Linked DNA regions of Xenopus tropicalis. The protein of the gene in region 1 interacts with the protein of each later gene in a biochemical or structural test. Links are inferred from orthologs where the notes say so. Each region holds a gene or a part of one and is shown on either strand. Other genes may lie near its edges.

Region 1 (4,025 bases):
TAAGCAATGCAGTGAGTGGAAACACACCCAGTCAAGCTGTTTACATATGCACTGTCCATGATGCTCTGAGGTCTTGCAAACACTTTTTATGTAATTTTAAATGTGAGCAGACAGACCAACTGAAGTTGAACTGAAAATTATATTTAAAACAATGCCTAGGTGTCCTAGGGCACAAGCAGTTGCTACTAGGATAACTTGCTGGATCGTGTCAGAATAAGATCACTTAATGTTATAAAATTACCCTGCCAACATTGCCTTACTGCTCTATTGCAGGACTGGCAATCTTTAAATGACGGAGAGCAGCACTGAAACACAAATAATGTTGAGATAAAAAAAAAAAGTGTTGCCAATCCAATGCTATTAGCGGCCCTATTTCACCTTTTAGCCTGTAGCAACCTTTAGAGGGTACTGCAGCTGAATGAATTTCTGCTTTTTTTTTTTACATGCACTCAAATTCTAATGGTTCTATACGAGTCCTATTTTTGAGGTTTATCACCAGAGTACATGATAAACATGATCTCTGCAGTACAGCGCACTAACTTTTTCTAAGGCTTAAGCCATTATCACAGTATGTATGTGGTTTTGTTTATGCTGCTTTAAATCACATATGCAGCATTGACTTAAATTCCCTAACCCCATCACTGCACACACAGGGTAGCTGCATGGAACTGAAACACCAGAAAAGAACCCATGTTACACATAGTATTTCTCAATTCAACCCTCCCAGCCTTATATTATTTAAATGAATAAAAAAAGATTCCCTGTTCCTGGTGGGTAACTTCCACTGACATCAATGACAGAAGGAATGGGTGTATCTGCTCAATGAGATACACCAAAACTAGTAGGCCTAAATCCTCACCCTAGTAGAGGTTAAGGGTTTGTAGCAGGGTTCACTAACAAACATATACAGAGTATTAACAGCAGTAATGTGATGAATGGAATGGGTTTAAGCTGGGATGAACCAAATAAAAAAAATGTATGTAGGATCCTGCCAAATCACGAGTCAAGCCAAACCAGATCTCAACCCTAAAAGTCATGTAACCTTAAAGGAGACATATTGGATAAATGGAAAGACCCCTAATTTTGTAGGCAATTATTAATATAATAAGGTGCTGGTTTCACTTTGGGCTAAAAAGTAACACTATCAGTAAAAAGGCCCCTTTATTGGAGCTCCTGATCGATCCTATCAGTTCTCTGTCCGTGTTTCAAATAAAGGGTCGGTGTGTCCTAACAGTTCCTGCCAGAAGCATCTTAGGAGGGGGATAGCCAATCACAGCCTTGCGCTCACACAAGCAAAGACAGGCTTCAGTTCCCTATCAGGTCACCCTAGCTGCTGATTGGTTCCTATCCTACAATGCAGTGTACCGAGAGCTGCCATACATTCTTAATTTTTATATGATATGTATCCTTTACAGTACAGGAATACTCATTAGCGCTCAGCTTTGGTTTGGCATTCAGCTACATTTTTGGTGGAGGAATTAGTTATTTAAAAAAAAATATATATATAGTATCTCAAATGTTTTCAGATCTTGTTGTTATTGGACATTTCAACTTAATTGTACTTGCCTGTATCCTCAATAAAACATATAGCAGATCAAAAATGTACTGTGTACTAAACAAAAGGGGCTCGCCAGGACTTTGTATTCTCCTCCCTTCTGCTTATTGTGCTTTTGTTAAAAGGCCTTATCCTTATGCCCATTTCTACTGTGATTAGACACTGCATTCCACAAAACAGATACTCCTAGGTCCTTCCAAATTGATTCACCCAATAACAGTTAGGGTTGTGTGTGTATTTTACACCCTAAATAAATAAATTCAATTTTTCCTGAATGGAAACTTATAATTCTTAGATGCTCTAATATAATTTTCCAGACTGAGTAGCAAAAAATTATAGGAGGGATCACACAAGGGAAGGATGACTTTGATGACCACCAGGGTGAACTTACCCAAATATTACTGCATTCCACACCATTATGTTGTTCTCAGAGGGTGCTCCACTCACCCCAGCAGGAGGATCCTCTTGGAGCCTGGAAACCAGTAAAACAAAAAATAGATAAGTTAGCCTAGTGATTGTCTGACTTTCATTTCAAGTGCCCCCCTTTCTTGTAGGTCTAACCTTTGGTCAGGGCCCCCTTAGTTCATATGTATCAGTCATTTAGAAACAGTTGCAAGAATATCTAGGACAGCAAATACATGTTTATCTCAAATCTTCCTGACCTTTAAACTGAGCTCTTGGGTGTAGTGAAGAGACCAAATCAGCATTTTCCCCATATATCACCCATACTAGCCTTCATACTAAGTACCCCACTGCTTCAGGAACCCCCAGAGAGGAAGGGGGGGGGGGGGGTAAGGGGACAGAGCCCCACAGTTTGGGAACCCAAAGCGCCCCTTACCTGTACCTTACCCCTCCTACACATGTCGCCAAGGAAGTGACCTAAGCACCTATTTTTCCAAGCTGTGGCCCTCCTGCTGCTCAACTACAAATCCCGACTACAGGGGACGCAGTTTCACTTCACCAATAGTTAAAGGGCCGCAAAATAGCCATCCTCAGCCAAAACCCACACAGCCTGCGATAGGCAAGCTCCGTTTTCTTCCCCCGGTTACCTTTTAAAGTCTCTCATCAGACGCCTTCTAGCAGGGGTTGACATTTGTCACCGTCACCGGAAATAAATTAAACAGAGACACTAAAAAGGGCTTGGCCTTATCGCTGTCGATTGTGGCCGATATTAATGCCAAAAGAGACGGTAGCTGGGCTCTAACAATATAATAATAATAACAATAATCTAGGAAGGCCGGCAGCAGGATCCGGCAGCGCTCTTCCGGGAGCTCCCGACCCTGGCGGAGGGATATGTGATCGCACAGCCGGAGAAAGAAAAACAAGTCCTTTTCCTCAGACTTGCCAAAGTCGCTGCATTCTGGGGTAGGGTAATAATAGAGGAATCCAACTCTAACTCTGTCTCCGCTGATAAATGAACTAATGTTAATGTAAAACAAATATAATTTAATTTGCATGCAAGAAATGAGCGATAAGCAGAGCTTTTCCTGAAAGGCCGAGTTTTAGATTGTGCGATGTGGTTTCCAAAACCCCCTACAGCGAACTTGGTATAGCCCAGGTTAGTGTTGTCGTCTAACAGCTGCTCCAACAAGATGACGTTGCACATGTTACGCCTCTAACCTATGATTGACGGTGGGATGAACGTCATGACTTGTGCTTAAGAGTTAGGTTGTTCCCTATGTTGCGTAAGATATTTATGTGTAATGTGAACTATTTTCATATGTATGTATAATAATCATTACATAGTTACATAGTTACATAGTTACATAGGGTTGAAAAAAGACCATTGTCCATCAAGTTCAACCCATCCGAGTAAACCCAGCACACAACCTATACTAACCAATCTATACACTCACATACATAAACTATATATATACAACCAGTAATACTAACTGTAGATATTAGTATCACAATAGCCTTGGATATTCTGCTTGTTCAAAAACTCATCCAGGCCCCTCTTAAAGGCATTAACAGAGTCTGCCATTACCACATCACTAGGAAGGGCATTCCACAGCCTCACTGCTCTCACCGTGAAAAACCACCTACGCTGCTTCAAATGGAAGCTCTGTTCCTCTAATCTATAGGGGTGACCTCTGGTGCGCTGATTGTTTTTATGGGAAAAAAGAACATCCCCCAACTGCCTATAATCCCCTCTAATGTACTTGTACAGAGTAATCATGTCCCCTCGCAAGCGCCTCTTTTCCAGAGAAAACAACCCCAACCTCGACAGTCTAACCTCATAGCTTAAATCTTCCATCCCCTTTACCAGTTTAGTTGCACGTCTCTGCACTCTCTCCAGCTCATTAATATCCTTCTTAAGGACTGGAGCCCAAAACTGCACCGCATACTCAAGGTGAGGCCTTACCAGGGACCTATAAAGCGGCAAAAATATGTCCTCATCCCTTGAGTCAATGCCCTTTTTTATACAAGACAGCACTTTATTTGCTGTAGTAGCTACAGAATGACACTG
Region 2 (3,968 bases), about 59 Mb from region 1:
ACATTGTACCATTGAGTTGAGTTGTTGGGGGCAGAAACGTGGAAATAAAGACCAATTGCATTGGGGGTCACCCTGTTTGATTGCTCGCTCTGCTGCCACGGGGGGTTTAGCTGTGCGGCGAGGGTGGCACAAATAGTATAGGGGTGTTATTATATTGGGCTGCGTGGGGATGAGTTGGGCGCCTGTGAGTGTCACTGTGTGAGTACAGCTGCTACTGCTAGAGAGGCCTGTGTAAAGCCGCTTTGCCCCATGTTGGGGGGGGGGGGGTACAGTATGCTGGGTAGGTTATGCCAGGCTTCATACGGGGCAAACGCCAAATGGTGGGGCCCCAAACCCTTCCTGGGCCCCAGAGATACCGTAGAATTTCCTGCAGTCTCACTGCTGTGCCTGCCCCCGTCTCCCTGCCGTTGTACCTTCTCTCACCCCCAGGTGGGGCAATACCTGCAGCATGGCAGCTTTGTAATGCCCAACAGGAGCTGCTTGTTCTGCCCAAGAGCTGACATTCTATAATATTCATTATAGAGTTACAGAAATTGTTGTATTTGCTCTGTGTTTGCGCACACTGCTTGCTCGTCCCTCGTGCCCCGCCCCTGCTTGCTCGTCCCTCGTGCCCCGCCCCTGCTTGCTCGTCCCTCGTGCCCCGCCCCTGCTTGCTCGTCCCTCGTGCCCCGCCCCTGCTTGCTCGTCCCTCGTGCCCCGCCCCTGCTTGCTCGTCCCTCGTGCCCGCCCCTGCTTGCTCGTCCCTCGTGCCCCGTCCCTGCTTGCTCGTCCCTCGTGCCCCGCCCCTGCTTGCTCGTCCCTCGTGCCCCCCCCTGCTTGCTCGTCCTGGTGCCCCGCCCTGCTTGCTCGTCCCTGGTGCCCCCCTTCGCCGGCCCCCCCTGCTTGCTCGTCCCTGGTGCCCCGCCCCTGCTTGCTCGTCCTGTGCCCCGCCCCTGCTTGCTCGTCCCTGGTGCCCCGCCCCTGCTTGCTCCGTCCCTGGTGCCCCGCACCCTGCTTGCTCGTCCCTGGTGCCCCGCCCCTGCTTGCTCGTCCCTGGTGCCCCGCCCCTGCTTGCTCGTCCCTGGTGCCCCCCCCCTGCTTGCTCGTGCCCCGCCCCTGCTTGCTCGTCCCTCGTGCCCCGCCCCTGCTACGGTACCAGCCCTGTACAACCGCATACACTGACCTGATCTTTTCTCCCGGTTAGATGTCCAGCTCGCCGCTGTCCAAGAAGCGTCGCGTGTCCGGATCTGAGACAAAGACGGGTTCAAACTGCTCATCCTCCAACTCCGTGAGCACCGATCAGACTGCGCCGGCCAACGTGAGTGCCCCCCGGGCTGTGCCGCCATATTCTAACCCCTTTCTACTTTGCTCAGAGTCAACCTGTACCCTTGGCTTTCTAGCTGGGGGCCAGTAGTAATGTGGCCCCGAGATTAACCCAATGGGCTTATTGCAGGGGAGGGCTCTAGTGTGGCCCCGAGATTAACCCAATGGATTTATTGCAGGGGAGGGCTCTAATGTGGCCCCCAGATTAACCCAATGGATTTATTGCAGGGGAGGGCTCTAATGTGGCCCCCAGATTAACCCAATGGATTTATTGCAGGGGAGGGCTCTAATGTGGCCCCGAGATTAACCCAATGGATTTATTGCAGGGGAGGGCTCTAATGTGGCCCCCAGATTAACCCAATGGATTTATTGCAGGGGAGGGCTCTATGTGGCCCCCAGATTAACCAATGGATTTATTGCAGGGGAGGGCTCTAATGTGGCCCCCAGATTAACCCAATGGATTTATTGCAGGGGAGGGCTCTAATGTGGCCCCCAGATTAACCCAATGGATTTATTGCAGGGGAGGGCTCTAATGTGGCCCCCAGATTAACCCAATGGATTATTGCAGGGGAGGGCTCTAATGTGGCCCCCAGATTAACCCAATGGATTTATTGCAGGGGAGGGCTCTAATGTGGCCCCCAGATTAACCCAATGGATTTATTGCAGGGGAGGGCTCTAATGTGGCCCCCAGATTAACCCAATGGATTTATTGCAGGGGAGGGCTCTAATGTGGCCCCCAGATTAACCCAATGGATTTATTGCAGGGGATGGCTCGGAACGGGAATTCTGCTGAGATAGACGAGGGTCTCTACTCGAGGCAGCTGTAAGTATAAGACCCTCCCTGGCTGCATGTTATTCGGGGGGGCTTTCTTCCTATTGGCTGCAGGGTTTGGCTCCTCGACTGTTGCTGGGGGCCCCTCTGCTGTGTGGAACCAAGGCCTGGGGACTTTTTTCTCTCTGGGAGGTTAAACTGCCCAGTAGCTTTAACCCTTTTCAGTCTGTGTAACTTCAGTGACCTTTGACCTCCCCAGACCCCTGTATTGTTCAGCATGGCCAGGTGACTGCTGTCGGCCAATCCCGTGAGACTCACATGCAGCCCTAATATAATTGCTTGTTGGAGAAGCAACAGATCAGCGGATTTTGTGCTGACAACTCTTCCGGGTCTCCTTGGCCTTTATGGCCATGTGACTGCAGCCTTTGAGTGGGCCAATCAGAATGGGCAGCTGTACAGATGTGTGCCTTCTGGTATAGATTGGCAGCTTTCCCTATACACAGTTACTGTTTTGTGCATCCCAGGTCCTCCCCCCCCCCCCCCCCGTGTCTTTGTGGGGTCCCCCCCTCACTCCATGAACAACTATGTTGGGCCCCCAGTAAACCTGGCAGCCGGGGGGGTGTCTAATGGCTTAGCTAGAACTGAGAACGCTTGGTGGGAGGGGCTGGAGGGCTAGTGGCTTAGCTAGAACTGGGAACGCTTGGTGGGAGGGGCTGGAGGGCCAGTAGGGCTAATGGCTTAGATAGAACTGGGAATGCTTGGGGGGAGGGGCTGGAGGGCCAGTAGGGCTAATGGCTTAGATAGAACTGGGAACGCTTGGTGGGAGGGCCAGTAGGGCTAATGGCTTAGATAGAACTGGGAGGGGCTGGAGGGCCAGTAGGGCTAATGGCTTAGATAGAACTGGGAACGCTTGGTGGGAGGGGCTGGAGGGCCAGTAGGGCTAATGGCTTAGATAGAACTGGGAATGCTTGGTGGGAGGGGCTGGAGGGCCAGTAGGGCTAATGGTTTTAGATAGAACTGGGAGGGGCTGGAGGGCCAGTAGGGCTAATGGCTTAGATAGAACTGGGAACGCTTGGTGGGAGGGGCTGGAGGGCCAGTAGGGCTAATGGCTTAGATAGAACTGGGAACGCTTAGTGGGAGGGCCAGTAGGGCTAATGGCTTAGAACTGGGAGGGGCTGGAGGGCCAGCAGGGCTAATGGCTTAGATAGAACTGGGAACGCTTGGTGGGAGGTGCTGGAGGGCCAGTAGGGCTAATGGCTTAGATAGAACTGGGAATGCTTGGTGGGAGGGGCTGGAGGGCCAGTAGGGCTAATGGCTTAGATAGAACTGGGAACGCTTGGTGGGAGGGGCTGGAGGGCCAGTAGGGCTAATGGCTTAGATAGAACTGGGAATGCTTGGTGGGAGGGGCTGGAGGGCCAGTAGGGCTAATGGCTTAGATAGAACTGGGAATGCTTGGGGGGAGGGACTGGAGGGCCAGCAGGGCTAATGGCTTAGATAGAGCTGGGAATGCTTGGGGGGGAGGGACTGGAGGGCCAGCAGGGCTAATGGCTTAGATAGAACTGGGAATGCTTGGGGGGAGGGACTGGAGGGCCAGCAGGGCTAATGGCTTAGATAGAACTGGGAATGCTTGGTGGGAGGGGCTGGAGGGCCAGTAGGGCTAATGGCTTAGATAGAACTGGGAATGCTTGGTGGGAGGGGCTGGAGGGCCAGTAGGGCTAATGGCTTAGATAGAACTGGGAATGCTTGGGGGGAGGGACTGGAGGGCCAGCAGGGCTAATGGCTTAGATAGAGCTGGGAATGCTTGGGGGGAGGGACTGGAGGGCCAGCAGGGCTAATGGCTTAGATAGAGATGGGAATGCTTGGGGGGAGGGACTGGAGGGCCAGCAGGGCTAAT
Region 3 (4,174 bases), on another chromosome or scaffold:
TGGTTCCTAACACTGCCTGAAATTAAGAGGTGGGAAAGCAGAGAGTCGTGAGCTACAAGCGAACCAATTGGATGCCATATAAACCCAAGGGGGTCTGTAAGTAGATTGGCAATCGGAAAGGGATATCACAACTGGGCACAAAAGGGTGATATAAGTAAAAGTCATCACTGGTGTTAAAAAGCACACGAGAGTGCACATTGTGAAGTAATAACAGTATTACACTATATATATTTTTTTTCTCTTTTTTCTTTTCCTCATAAGACCTCATCACTAAGTCTAAAGCAGAAGAGGGCACTTTGGAGTAATCTATTGGACTTTATTTTGACCTGGGACACGAGGTATCTGAAGTGAGGAGCATACACTCAAAATTGCATTTATTTATATTTGTAAAAGAGCATGAAGTTAACTACTGCATACCCCCCAACTGTCCCGCTTTTCGCGGGACAGTCCCGCTTTTTATGGCGCATCCCGCTGTCCCGAATAGTTCCATGAATGTCCCGCATTGCTCCTTCTGCGGCTTCGTTATGCCTCTCCTTGTGCAGCGCGACAGGCCCTTTTATAAGGTTGCGCCTGTGGGTGTGACGTCATTACGCACGGGGCGCAACCTTATAAAAGGGCCTGTCGCGCTGCACAAGGAGAAGCATAACGAAGCCGCAGACGAAGGCTGCGCCTATGGGAGGTACTGTGAATGGGGGGCTACTGTGATAAGGGGACACTGTGTATTGGGGGTACTGTGTATTAGGGGCTACTGTTTATAGGGGCACTGTGTATTGGGGGTTACTGTGTATAGGGGGCTACTGTGTATAGGGGGCTACTTTGTATAGGGGGCACTGTGTATGGGGGCACTGTGTATGGGAGACTACTGTGTATTGGGGGGTACTGTGTATGGGGGGCTACTGTGTATGGGGGGGCTACTGTGTATGGGGGTACTGTGTATGGGGGGGCAAAACTGGTACTTAGTTATAACTCACTTATAACTGACTGCCTTCTCTCTATACTTGTATTTTAATGTAGGAGTTGCTATATTGTTTTCCTTAGGTCGTTCAGTATGAGGGTATAGCACATTTTCGTCTGCGCCCGCCATTTGATCTATATAAAAGGGGTATTTTTTTAAAATGGAGTGTGGTAATTGGGGCGTGGCCACAAAAGGGGGCGTGATCAAAAAATTGCCTTGCTGCGCGCGCCAAATCTTTTTGTCCCTCTTTTCATTTTTCAAATGTTGGGAGGCATGCTACTGCTGTATCACATCGTATATTTCTTTGGATTTGGGGGACCTTTAAAAATGTTAAGATTTTATTGCAGGACACAGGGCGAATTCGCCTGCTTTAAGCCCATCCACACACCGCTTTGGCATATACCTTAGTGCTGTAGTTCCTCCTACAACTAGCTTGAACTACCTTTCCCGACATGCTTTGCGCACGATCACGTGACGTTGAGAGCAGCGCGGGAAATTTGGGGTAGCTCGGGTTTGGGTCGCTGTAATTCGGCTTCCATGGCAACCACACCAGAACCGGGATCTAAGGCAAAGGGCAAACAACCCGTGCAGGTAAGGTACTAGTGGCCAGTGCCGCGTACTGATAGGGTTTGTCAGTCATTGTGCCTCACAGGAAGTCCCGCCTGCCTGCACTCAGCGGCTTCTGTACAGCTGCCCTGGCTGCAGCATGTATATATACTGTACTGTGTAACCCTGAGTTATTATATGTATTGTATATACGAACTAGGAGTGCAGAGAATGCACACAGATATTGCTTTTAAAACCAATCACAAATAACTCTAAAGCCAATTGGATGGAGGTGTATTGGAAAGTTGTATACAATCTGGAGTGGAGTTTCCCTTTAGCAACAGTTGTCAGGCAGCAGTGTGGCATCCCTAATGTATTTGCACTTGTCCCCTTCAATGCCCCCCACTTCCTTCCCTCTGGCACAGTGATTTATATGGCCGCCCAGCTGCTACACAACATGTTTATGTTTCCTGGGGGGGGGGGAGTCATTGTTGGGAGGCGCAGATTTATTATTTCTGTAGCTCCATTTGGCCTCCTAGTGCAAGGCAACTGCAAATCACAGTAGGAAAGGGGACATAAACCGATAAATACAATCATGCCTAAGGAAAGAAAGAAAATTCGAAGCAACTTTGCGATATATTGCTTAAAGGGAAACGAAAGGCAAAATCACTTGGGGGTGCCAAAATGTTAGGCACCCCCAAGTGACTTTAACTGCTTACCTCATACCCCGGGCTGGTGCCCCTGTTAGGAGAAAACAGCACCAGCCCGGGGCACCTGTAGCTCATCGCTTCCTTCTTCCGGCTTCCGGCTTCCGTTGCTGGAATGCCAGCGGTGGGCGCATGCGCAGTAGAGTGAAAAGCCGTTAAGGGTTAAGTTCGGCTTTTTACTCTACTGCGCATGCGCGCGCAGCGAATCAGGAAGAAGCAAGCGCCGGCAGCTACCCCGGGCTGGTGCTGTTCTCTTCTCACAGGGGCACCAGGTAGGTGGTCAAAGTCACTTGGGGGTGCCTAACATTTTGGCACCCCCAAGTGACTTTGACTTTCTTTTTCCTTTAAAGGAACAGTAACACCAAAAAATGAAAGAGCTTTCAAGTAATAAAAATATAATGCACTGTTGCCCTGCACTGGTAAAACTGGGGTGTTTGCTACAGTAACACTACTATAGTTTATATAATAAGCTGCTGTGTAGCCACGGGGGCAGCCATTCAAGCTGGAAAAAAGGAGAAAAGGCACAGGCACATAGCAGATAACAGATAAGCTCTGTAGGATACAATAGTTTTATCTGTTATCTGCTATGTGCCTGTACCTTTTCTCCTTTGAATGGCTGCCCCCATGGCTACATAGCAGCTTATTTATATAAATTATAGTAGACTTTCTGAGGTAAACACACAACTTTTACCAGTGCAGGGCAGCAGCACATTATATTTTAGTTACTTTTATACACTTTCATTTTTTGGTGTTACTGTTCCTTTAACATTGTACGCAGTGTCGGTCTGTCCTGTTCTGAGTTTTTGATTCTCACATTAAACAATGTAACAGAATTTGGCTCTACCACAGTCAAGGCCTATTAAAGGGCACCTGTCACAAACATTTTGTTTCCCCCACCAGAGATGAATGCTAACAGAGCCCACATCTAGATGAGGAAAACGGTAGTATTTTTTGAAGGATAGTTCCCCCACTGTGGTGCTGTCAAGCCATGCTGGAGTGCAGCAAACAACATATTGAGCGAGTTTCCTGGCTTACTAAATATGTGCTTGGCTATGATTTTTGATCAGTCGACATGAATATTGTCTAGGCCTGGGCACTCTGCCCGTGTGTACACTATGCCCGTGTGTGCCTTAGTATGGCCTCCTGCACCGAAAATTGGTTCCTGGTGCAGGGAACGCTGCACTTAGATGCTTCTCCCTATGCATTCATGGAATGCTCAATATGCTTGTTGTACAATGCAGTGTTAAAGACAAGAGTGAACCAGGAAACTTGCTGATTGTGAAAGTTGCTCATTTTGTGCTTTGGTGTACCCTTGCCTTGCCAACTGCACTGGTAGTGGGCTCCAGGGCACAGCATTCCATGGGGGGCAAGTTCTTTAAACAGTTCTTATTTACTGTTTTGTTTTCCCACCTTGTCCACCTTTAATTATGACACCTCTGGTTTGCAGGAACAGCAATCCCAGTTTAATGGTGCTAGCAGATTGGGTAACTGGTCCGGGTGGGGTTTCAAAAATTTGAACTGTGCAGTAATGCAGGTTTTGTTGGCCTGCACCTCTGGTGGGATAAACATTTTAGTAATAGGTTGATTGGCTGGATTCTCTTACATTGTAAATGGGATTTATACTTGACAGCAGCAATGTAAAGAAATGCATCCTGGTGTTATACAGGTGGCAATTCTTTTCCATGGAGTAGTCAACAGAAATGGATCTTGGACTCAAAGGATCTAGTGTTTTCCAAGGCACTCGCTGCTTAACATAATGGTGCTGGCCATGAGCCAGTAAAGCAAATTGGGTGAAATTAAAGCTGGCAATACATTTACAGATCAAATCTTCATATGATTTTCTGTTTATGTATGGAGGCCTGCGAATCAGTTTTGGGATTGGGCAGGTGTGAAAATAAAAAAAAAAATTAAGAATAGCTGCCAGTCTTCCAATAAAAATAATATCTTTATTTGCTCAACTTAAAAA
Region 4 (3,514 bases), on another chromosome or scaffold:
CTGACTATATAAATAAATATGTAATAATAATATATTAATCACCCCTCTTACTAGGGTTACGCTTCTTTTGAGAAGCAGACAAATAATCCACACCAATAAGTGTATATAAAATGAATTTATTGAATAACAAATCAATTGACTGTTAAAATTAAGTGATTATTTAAAACAAAACAATATATTTACATTAGTTACAGATTAATAATGAAGTCTACCTTATTATAGCTACCCACAAACACAGAACATGATGGTCTGGTTCCTTTTCTCTAGCCAGTTGATCATGGCTTCCCTCTGGTCTGCAGCCCTCACATTCTGCCCTGATCACTTCAGATGCTGTGTGTAGATGCTCTCCCCAGTTGCTTCTCTTTGACTACTGTCCAGTCCACATTACTCAGTGTATAACACATAAATATTTATAAAGCCACAAACACATATGTATAGAAGAGGCATTCCAAATATAGAGGAGAGCACCATAAAGCAGAATTCTGCTAAAATGCTATTTATTTCAGACCAAAAAACACAACATGTTTCGGGCAGTGTGACGCCCTTTATCAAGTGTGTCACACTGCCCGAAACATGTTGTGTTTTTTTGTCTGAAATAAATAGCATTTTAGCAGAATTCTGCTTTATGGTGCTCTCCTCTATATTTGGATTGTATTGAATGGCTCAGCGGTGTGCCTTGCGAGGATTGATGCATCAAGCCTGATCTAAGGGCTGTGCGGTTGAATACCTATTTGTTGATGTATAGAAGAGGCATGTTGAAATGGCCACATTTTCATTTTTTCTGCTTATGCCCTAAATTTCTTTTATTTTTCATTCATTTAAAATCTTTTATTGCAGTTTGATGAAAATATTGGCATTTTTTTGGGTCGTTATGACTTGGATCAAGACTTGGGGGAGTTTCTGACAGAACGCAAAGCATTGGTTCTGCCAGAGCCAGAGCCAGATTCTGACAGCAATCCAGAACGCAAAGAAAATGAAAGGGGTAAGCAGTAGGGAGGGATAGTGGTGAACAAGAACACCATTTATTTTCTCAAAAAGATGATGTTTATAACAATAAATATCCACTAAGTAAATCAGTTTTCAGTGGAAATAAAAAACTGAGGAAACTTTTTAGATTTTGTAACATAAAATGGGTTTTTATTTCTTTTGTATTGAACCTTTAAACTAAAATCCAAACAATCTCTGACTGGTTAACTCATTGTAGGCGAAGGACTATGGGAAGCTCCTCTTTCCTTTTTGGCCACTCTGGCCAGCAGCAGCAGTGAAGAAATTGAATCTCAGCTACAAGAACGTGTAGAATCTTCACGACGTGCAGTCTCTCGTATTGTTTTGGTGTATGACCGACTGCATGACCAACTGGACCATCTTGCCAAGAAACTGAATAGCACTGGTGGGAAGCAGTCTTTCAATTTTATGATTTTTGTTCCATTTTATTCTTTTTGAGTTTTATTTTTCTTGGGCTTTAATTTTGTTATTACCACACTGAAGAACTTTTACATCTCTATTCCTGTATCTTCCGACTCTCTCTATAGATCCATCTCACGTGGAAGAGGCTGTCAGGGATTTAAACTCCTTGCTCTCAAATGAGAATGCACGATTGCAGGAGATTTGTAACTTGCTACAAGAGAAACAGCAGAATATGTCCCAAGAGGTCAGTGGGTTTTTTTGTAACCGGTTAATGAAAATAATGTTAAATATATAAGTTTTTGTTTATACAATGTTAAATATAGACATTTTTTGTAATTTTGAGAAAACATGTCATACATTTTAATAATATGTTTTGCACATAAGTAGATAACTAACTGGAGAGTCTATTAGGTTTGATGTTTCTGTAGACTTAAGGTATGGAGACCTAAATTACAGAAAGGTATGGTTTTCACAAGTCCTGGGAGTGCGATTCTGTTTCTACATACATATATATACATATATATATATATATATATATATATATATATATATATATATATATATATCTTTCAAGAAGCCGGCACTCACGTTTAAAGGTCACTGGATGCCCGGGTGCAGTATTATAAATTCCAGATGTATACCAAGCAAAAGATACCGCACTCACAGGACTTACTTGAGAAAAAGGTGATTTAATATTCACAACATAGCACGGACGTTTCGGCTGTCTCTTTGAAAAAGGCTGTGGAGACAGCCGAAACGTCAGTGCTATGTTGTGAATATTAAATCACCTTTTTCTCAAGTAAGTCCTGTGAGTGCGGTATCTTTTGCTTGGTATATATATATCAAAATGTCAACATTTCATTCTTCTTGTGAGCCCCAAGACACACAAACAGAATTTACCCCTCCACCCAAACTTAAATACCCTAGTGTAGAGAAATCGTGCCAGAATAGCATGTGTGAAATAATCAGAGTGAATGCAGTCTGTATCCAACATTTAGAAGTGAACAACATTGTATACTCAATTTTTTGAGGAGTGCCACATCCTCCCCCATTATTGTAACTTGGTCAGGGAACCTAAGTCTGTCAGACCCTCTCAGAACTACTTCCACCCGGAGCACACTCATAAAAACTAAGGTGTGTTGTCATGGAAGCGCACGTATGTTAAGCCGGCATTCACATAGCAGTGCAGGAAGGATTGTTGAAGTGTGTTGTCATAGAGAATATTTCACAATCCTTACAAATTGTAAATAATGTTCAAAAGTTGATGTGGTGTTCAAATCTGTAAGCCCTGGAGCCCAATGCATAGTAACAACATCGAACTGTTACAGATGGCACTCAAAATTCAGCAATTGCGCTAAATAACTTTTTTGTTTATCGAGATCTCTGCACACAACATTTCGGGGGATGCCCCTCCTTCCTCAGAAATGCATACCTGCTTTTGTGATTAGCACTACCCTCTGCAACAGTAGCAGTACAAAGCTGCAAGTACTTAAGCAGTAAGAAAGCGGGGGCATAGCAAGTAGCAACCAAATGGGTCTATTGGTTGGCACGGTCAGGTTCACCGGACCCGGCACTAGTACTACCCAGTTATATGATTGGCACAAACAGATCATTAGATTCTGACACAATTAGATGTCATGTAACATCAGGAGAACATATCTGGGGTAAATCTGTTGCAGCCACTAAAGGTAGATGGTAGTAGTGAGTTCATGTGCATCTGAGCAGCTATATGTGGACAATGACATTATTATGGTCCCCTGTCTGGACTTAAGTAATCATATAGCTGAGAGCACAATATTGACACAATTATATTGCCAGAGAGTCAAGTTTATATGTCCATTTGCGTTCTTTCTGAAGTTGAAAGACAAAAAGGGCTAGAAAAGGAAGGCAGACAACCAATTGCAAAGTTAGTAGAATAGGACAGTCTATAACATACCAAAAGTTAACTCCAAGGTAAACCATCCCTTTAAAAAACTCAGTAGGGGGTGCTGTCTGGTCAGAATTTAAGGCTTTCCCGCAGATATTAATCCAAGATTGTGAGGAATCACAATATATAAACTTTTAAATTCTAGTTTAGTTGAAAACGCGAGATAATGCAGAGTCTCGT
Region 5 (3,514 bases), on another chromosome or scaffold:
GTCGCCCCTTAATTGATGTAAATCCGGTGAAAGTCGTGGGCTCCGAAGGCTGCGTTGCACTTGGGGCACTTGCGCTGCCGGGACTCGTATCGGGTCTTCACGCACTCGAAGCAGAAGACGTGAAAGCACTTGGTGAGGACGGCGTCCTTTTTCCGAGTGTTACAGCAAGGGCAAGTGAGTCGGGCCTGGAAGTGCCGAAGGGGTGGGAAGTACAGAGGAAGGGAGAGAAGGAGAAAGTGTCAGTACCCAGAACACATTGCAAAGCATTTCTTTCTAACCACCACATTATTGCTATAGCCTCTTCCTGTCTGTAGAGCTGACCCGGAGCCATTACAAACCCAGGGCCATTCGCTCTTTGCGGATTTTATTCCAACTTGATGTTCTCAAAGCAACTAATAAATAGTCTTAAGTGCCCTGCCCGACCCACTGCCCCTTACTTACCCTGTACTCTTTAATCTCTTCCTGTAGGATTTGGTCAGCATCTGCATAAACCTCCATCTTCTTCTGCTTTTCCAGTTTCCTTCGCAGCCGAGATACATCCTCCTGTAAAGGCACAAACCCCTGAATAAGTGAAACACACCCAATGGGCCGGATAATAAGGCACTCTCTGTGGGTCAAGCTTCTTACCTGAGCTCTTTTGAGACTAAAGGACTCCTTTTCTTTAGCGCTTCGGTTCTCACATACAAAGTTCTGGGTATCCCTAAGCGTTTCCCCTACATGCTCCATTTGCACTTTCAGGTCTTCGGCGAGCTGGGCTGCCTCGACTGCCTAGAAAGCAACATAAATGTATATAGTTATAATGGCGCAATACGATGAGCTCTTGTTTAGCAGAGGAATCAGAAGCATCAGCAATGAGCATAATTATAAATTATAATTCAGGTCGCTTACCTTCCTCTTGTTCAGTTCCAGTGACTGTGTTCTAAGAGTGACTTCCTTCTCAATGGAAGTCAAAGACGTGTGTAAGAGGCGCTCTCTCTCCTCCAGTTTCTGTACCTGTAACAGCTGAGCATCCACCTGAGACACACACAGCAACAGTGTTACATAATAATAATAACACACACCTTTTGGCACCAAGCAGTAGCGATGTAAAGTGAACAGTATGGCAAAAGGCTCCCTCTAGTGGCCAAAGATCCATTAACCCACTTTAAATGACCCATAGAGAACAAAGAAATGGGAAAAGTACCACAGACCCCCACTGACAGCAAAACCCAAATACAGAAAGTATTGGTTCCTTTCTTGACCCATTTTGCATGTAGCAAGTACCTACCTGGGCTTTCAGCCCTTGCACTTGCTCAGCCAGCTCCTCCTTCTCTTCCCTCAGGAGTTTGTGTATCTGGTTGGATTTGATCCTCTCGGACATCAGTTTGAAGTTGGCGTCGTCCTTCTCACGGAGCTGCTGCATCAGACGAATATTCTGTTCTTGCATGTCCTCAAACGCCTGGCCCGTCACGTCCATCTCTGACAGTAAGGCCTCCTCCTCCTGCGTTTAGAAATGAAATAGGCAGGGTTAATATTTATTTCTACCAGGAATTCCATAGGCCAAATGACATAGGGAACAGGGCCAGGGTGGAGTTAATTGCTCTGTTTAGACAGCATCAAGAGCCCTTTGGCGCTTAGGAGCAGGAATCCAGCACTGTGGGACTAACACAAAGGGGCTCATTCATCAACGATAGGCAAATCTGCCTGTGGGCAGTAACCCATGGCAACCAAACTGTTGTATTTATTGTTTTTTCTGTAGCTGGCTAAAAAAAAAGTCATTCACATAAATGTCCCTATGGGTTAAAGTCCATAGGCAAATTTACCCAGTACTGATAAATGAGCCCCAAGGTGGGCAGACTTAGGTCTTGGCCCTGTTGTCCGTGGCTGCCTGGAAGTATCCCTTGTGCTTATCCTTACACTTCCTTGCTGTATGAAACACATTAAAATAGCAAAGCAGAGTTAAATTGTGACACAATTACTATGTGTCTTTACTCCTAGTGGGAGCAGCCTTTTACCCCCAGTGTTCCTGAGTCTGCTAAGTTGTCTGTATTTCCTAAACAGCCCCTTTGTCTCTTACCTGTTTGGTGGCAGTCAGTTTCCTCTGTAAATGGTCTATTTGTTCCTCAGCCATCTTAATTTTCCTCAGTGCTTCTTCATCTGCAAGTTTCTTCCTCTCCCTCTTGTCTTTCTCCTCAAGAGCTTGCACCCGCGTGCGCTGCTCCTCCATCTGCAATAGAAAGGCAGAAACAGGCACAGAGTGCATGATATAATCCCTTCTATAATACATGTACACAATCAGAATGCAAGAACCTGCACCAATCAGAAACACGTAGATAACCAACAGTGCAACCATCAGCCACGCATGTATTTGTAGGTCAGAGAGACGCACCTCGGCCTTGGTCTTTCTCTCCGCTGCCATCAGCTGCACCTTGTCTCTCTGCTCTTTGGGGGCAGATTTGTACATATCGAGCAGCAGCTTCATCTCTTTCTGGCTCTCCTGGGCCTTCCTGAAAAGGAACATGAACAGTCATGTGAATGGGGTGGGAGGCAGTGTGTTAAATGTAAAGGGTTGATAAATTTGGCTGGTTGGATTGCAACAGTTTATAAACAGAAGCAGGGAAGCAGACAACTGATTATGTGAATAATCCAATGGGAAGGACTGAATGGAAAGCAGGCAGCAGTTGGCGGGGGGAATCGGCAATGTGCAATAACTGGGAAGGAAAAGTTCTCTTACTTGAGCTCTGCCCGGAGCTGTTTCAGAATGTCGCAGTCTTTCCTTTTGCTCTCATCTGTTTTCTGCTTGTCTTTCTCACGCTCCCTTTCCTTTTCCTTGTCTCTTTCCCGATCTTTGTCTCGCTCCCGTTCCGCCTCCCTCTCCCGGGCTTTGGTCCGCTCTGCTGCCTCTTTCTTTTGCTCTTCCTCCTCCTTTTTTACTTCAGGGGTAGTGGGAGTCTCAGGCTCTCGTGGCACGACTGCAAGGGGTTCTTTCTTCACTTCTACTTCTTCCTCTTTGACAGTAACGGGGGTCGTTGGTTCCGATCCTGAAGATCCAGGCTGAGGACAGGGTGGTCCGCCGATTTGAAAACGCAGCTGGGAAAGCAAGGGGCGATAAAGCGGGAACCATAAGAGGGGCAAATCATCAGTTACAAAGTATAAAAGAAGAAAGGTTGCTGTAATAATACAGTCAGGGACTCACTTTCCCATGATCTGAAAACGCAAACTTATATCTGTGGAATGTTCAGCTCTCAAGCTGATCTTGGTTCCCTAGACAAACCCTTGAAATAAAACTGTTGCTTTATAGCCATTTTTTCAGCACGTGCCCATTCCAGTATCAAACAGCGGAACAGGTTCTAGGCCCCGGGCAGTTTCCATTCATGCCAGCTGCAATAGGTCACTCTGGGGAAGCCCCTCTCACCTTGCTCACCTCTGCCTGGGAATCTCGCACCTTGCGCTTGTATCTTTGCACATCTCCCTTCAGTTGGTGGTTGTGGTTTTGGAGGCTTCCAATGAGATGCCGCATCTCCCTATTAATAGG

Evidence for each region.
Region 2: of the proteins of ube2a (region 1) and uba1, one has a biochemical effect on the other in vitro, tested with the Homo sapiens proteins (6 studies listed by BioGRID, with this or other methods). The link is inferred for Xenopus tropicalis from reciprocal best matches to the Homo sapiens genes UBE2A and UBA1.
Region 3: the proteins of ube2a (region 1) and rad18 form a complex in vitro, tested with the Homo sapiens proteins (12 studies listed by BioGRID, with this or other methods). The link is inferred for Xenopus tropicalis from reciprocal best matches to the Homo sapiens genes UBE2A and RAD18.
Region 4: the proteins of ube2a (region 1) and rnf20 form a complex in vitro, tested with the Homo sapiens proteins (4 studies listed by BioGRID, with this or other methods). The link is inferred for Xenopus tropicalis from reciprocal best matches to the Homo sapiens genes UBE2A and RNF20.
Region 5: the proteins of ube2a (region 1) and rnf40 form a complex in vitro, tested with the Homo sapiens proteins (3 studies listed by BioGRID). The link is inferred for Xenopus tropicalis from reciprocal best matches to the Homo sapiens genes UBE2A and RNF40.

What each region holds. Positions count from the first base shown.
Region 1 is NC_030684.2:59,680,795-59,684,819, reverse strand, and holds the start of ube2a (ubiquitin-conjugating enzyme E2 A), read right to left. Parts: upstream 2,806-4,025; 5' UTR 2,649-2,805; coding exon 2,605-2,648; intron 2,028-2,604; coding exon 1,947-2,027; intron 1-1,946. UniProt on the Homo sapiens protein: E2 ubiquitin-conjugating enzyme that accepts ubiquitin from the ubiquitin-activating enzyme E1 and transfers it to a E3 ubiquitin-protein ligase. In vitro catalyzes 'Lys-11', as well as 'Lys-48'-linked polyubiquitination.
Region 2 is NC_030684.2:525,614-529,581, forward strand, and holds the start of uba1 (ubiquitin-like modifier-activating enzyme 1), read left to right. Parts: upstream 1-1,159; 5' UTR 1,160-1,183; coding exon 1,184-1,297; intron 1,298-2,066; coding exon 2,067-2,125; intron 2,126-3,968. UniProt on the Homo sapiens protein: Catalyzes the first step in ubiquitin conjugation to mark cellular proteins for degradation through the ubiquitin-proteasome system.
Region 3 is NC_030680.2:131,548,926-131,553,099, reverse strand, and holds the start of rad18 (E3 ubiquitin-protein ligase RAD18), read left to right. Parts: upstream 1-1,369; 5' UTR 1,370-1,492; coding exon 1,493-1,546; intron 1,547-4,174. UniProt on the Homo sapiens protein: E3 ubiquitin-protein ligase involved in postreplication repair of UV-damaged DNA. Postreplication repair functions in gap-filling of a daughter strand on replication of damaged DNA.
Region 4 is NC_030683.2:57,238,135-57,241,648, forward strand, and holds part of rnf20 (E3 ubiquitin-protein ligase BRE1A), read left to right. Parts: intron 1-837; coding exon 838-982; intron 983-1,204; coding exon 1,205-1,390; intron 1,391-1,532; coding exon 1,533-1,651; intron 1,652-3,514. UniProt on the Homo sapiens protein: Component of the RNF20/40 E3 ubiquitin-protein ligase complex that mediates monoubiquitination of 'Lys-120' of histone H2B (H2BK120ub1).
Region 5 is NC_030685.2:13,689,760-13,693,273, forward strand, and holds part of rnf40 (E3 ubiquitin-protein ligase BRE1B), read right to left. Parts: coding exon 3,395-3,514; intron 3,070-3,394; coding exon 2,714-3,069; intron 2,487-2,713; coding exon 2,369-2,486; intron 2,207-2,368; coding exon 2,057-2,206; intron 1,481-2,056; coding exon 1,268-1,480; intron 1,015-1,267; coding exon 889-1,014; intron 769-888; coding exon 628-768; intron 544-627; coding exon 442-543; intron 186-441; coding exon 9-185; 3' UTR 1-8.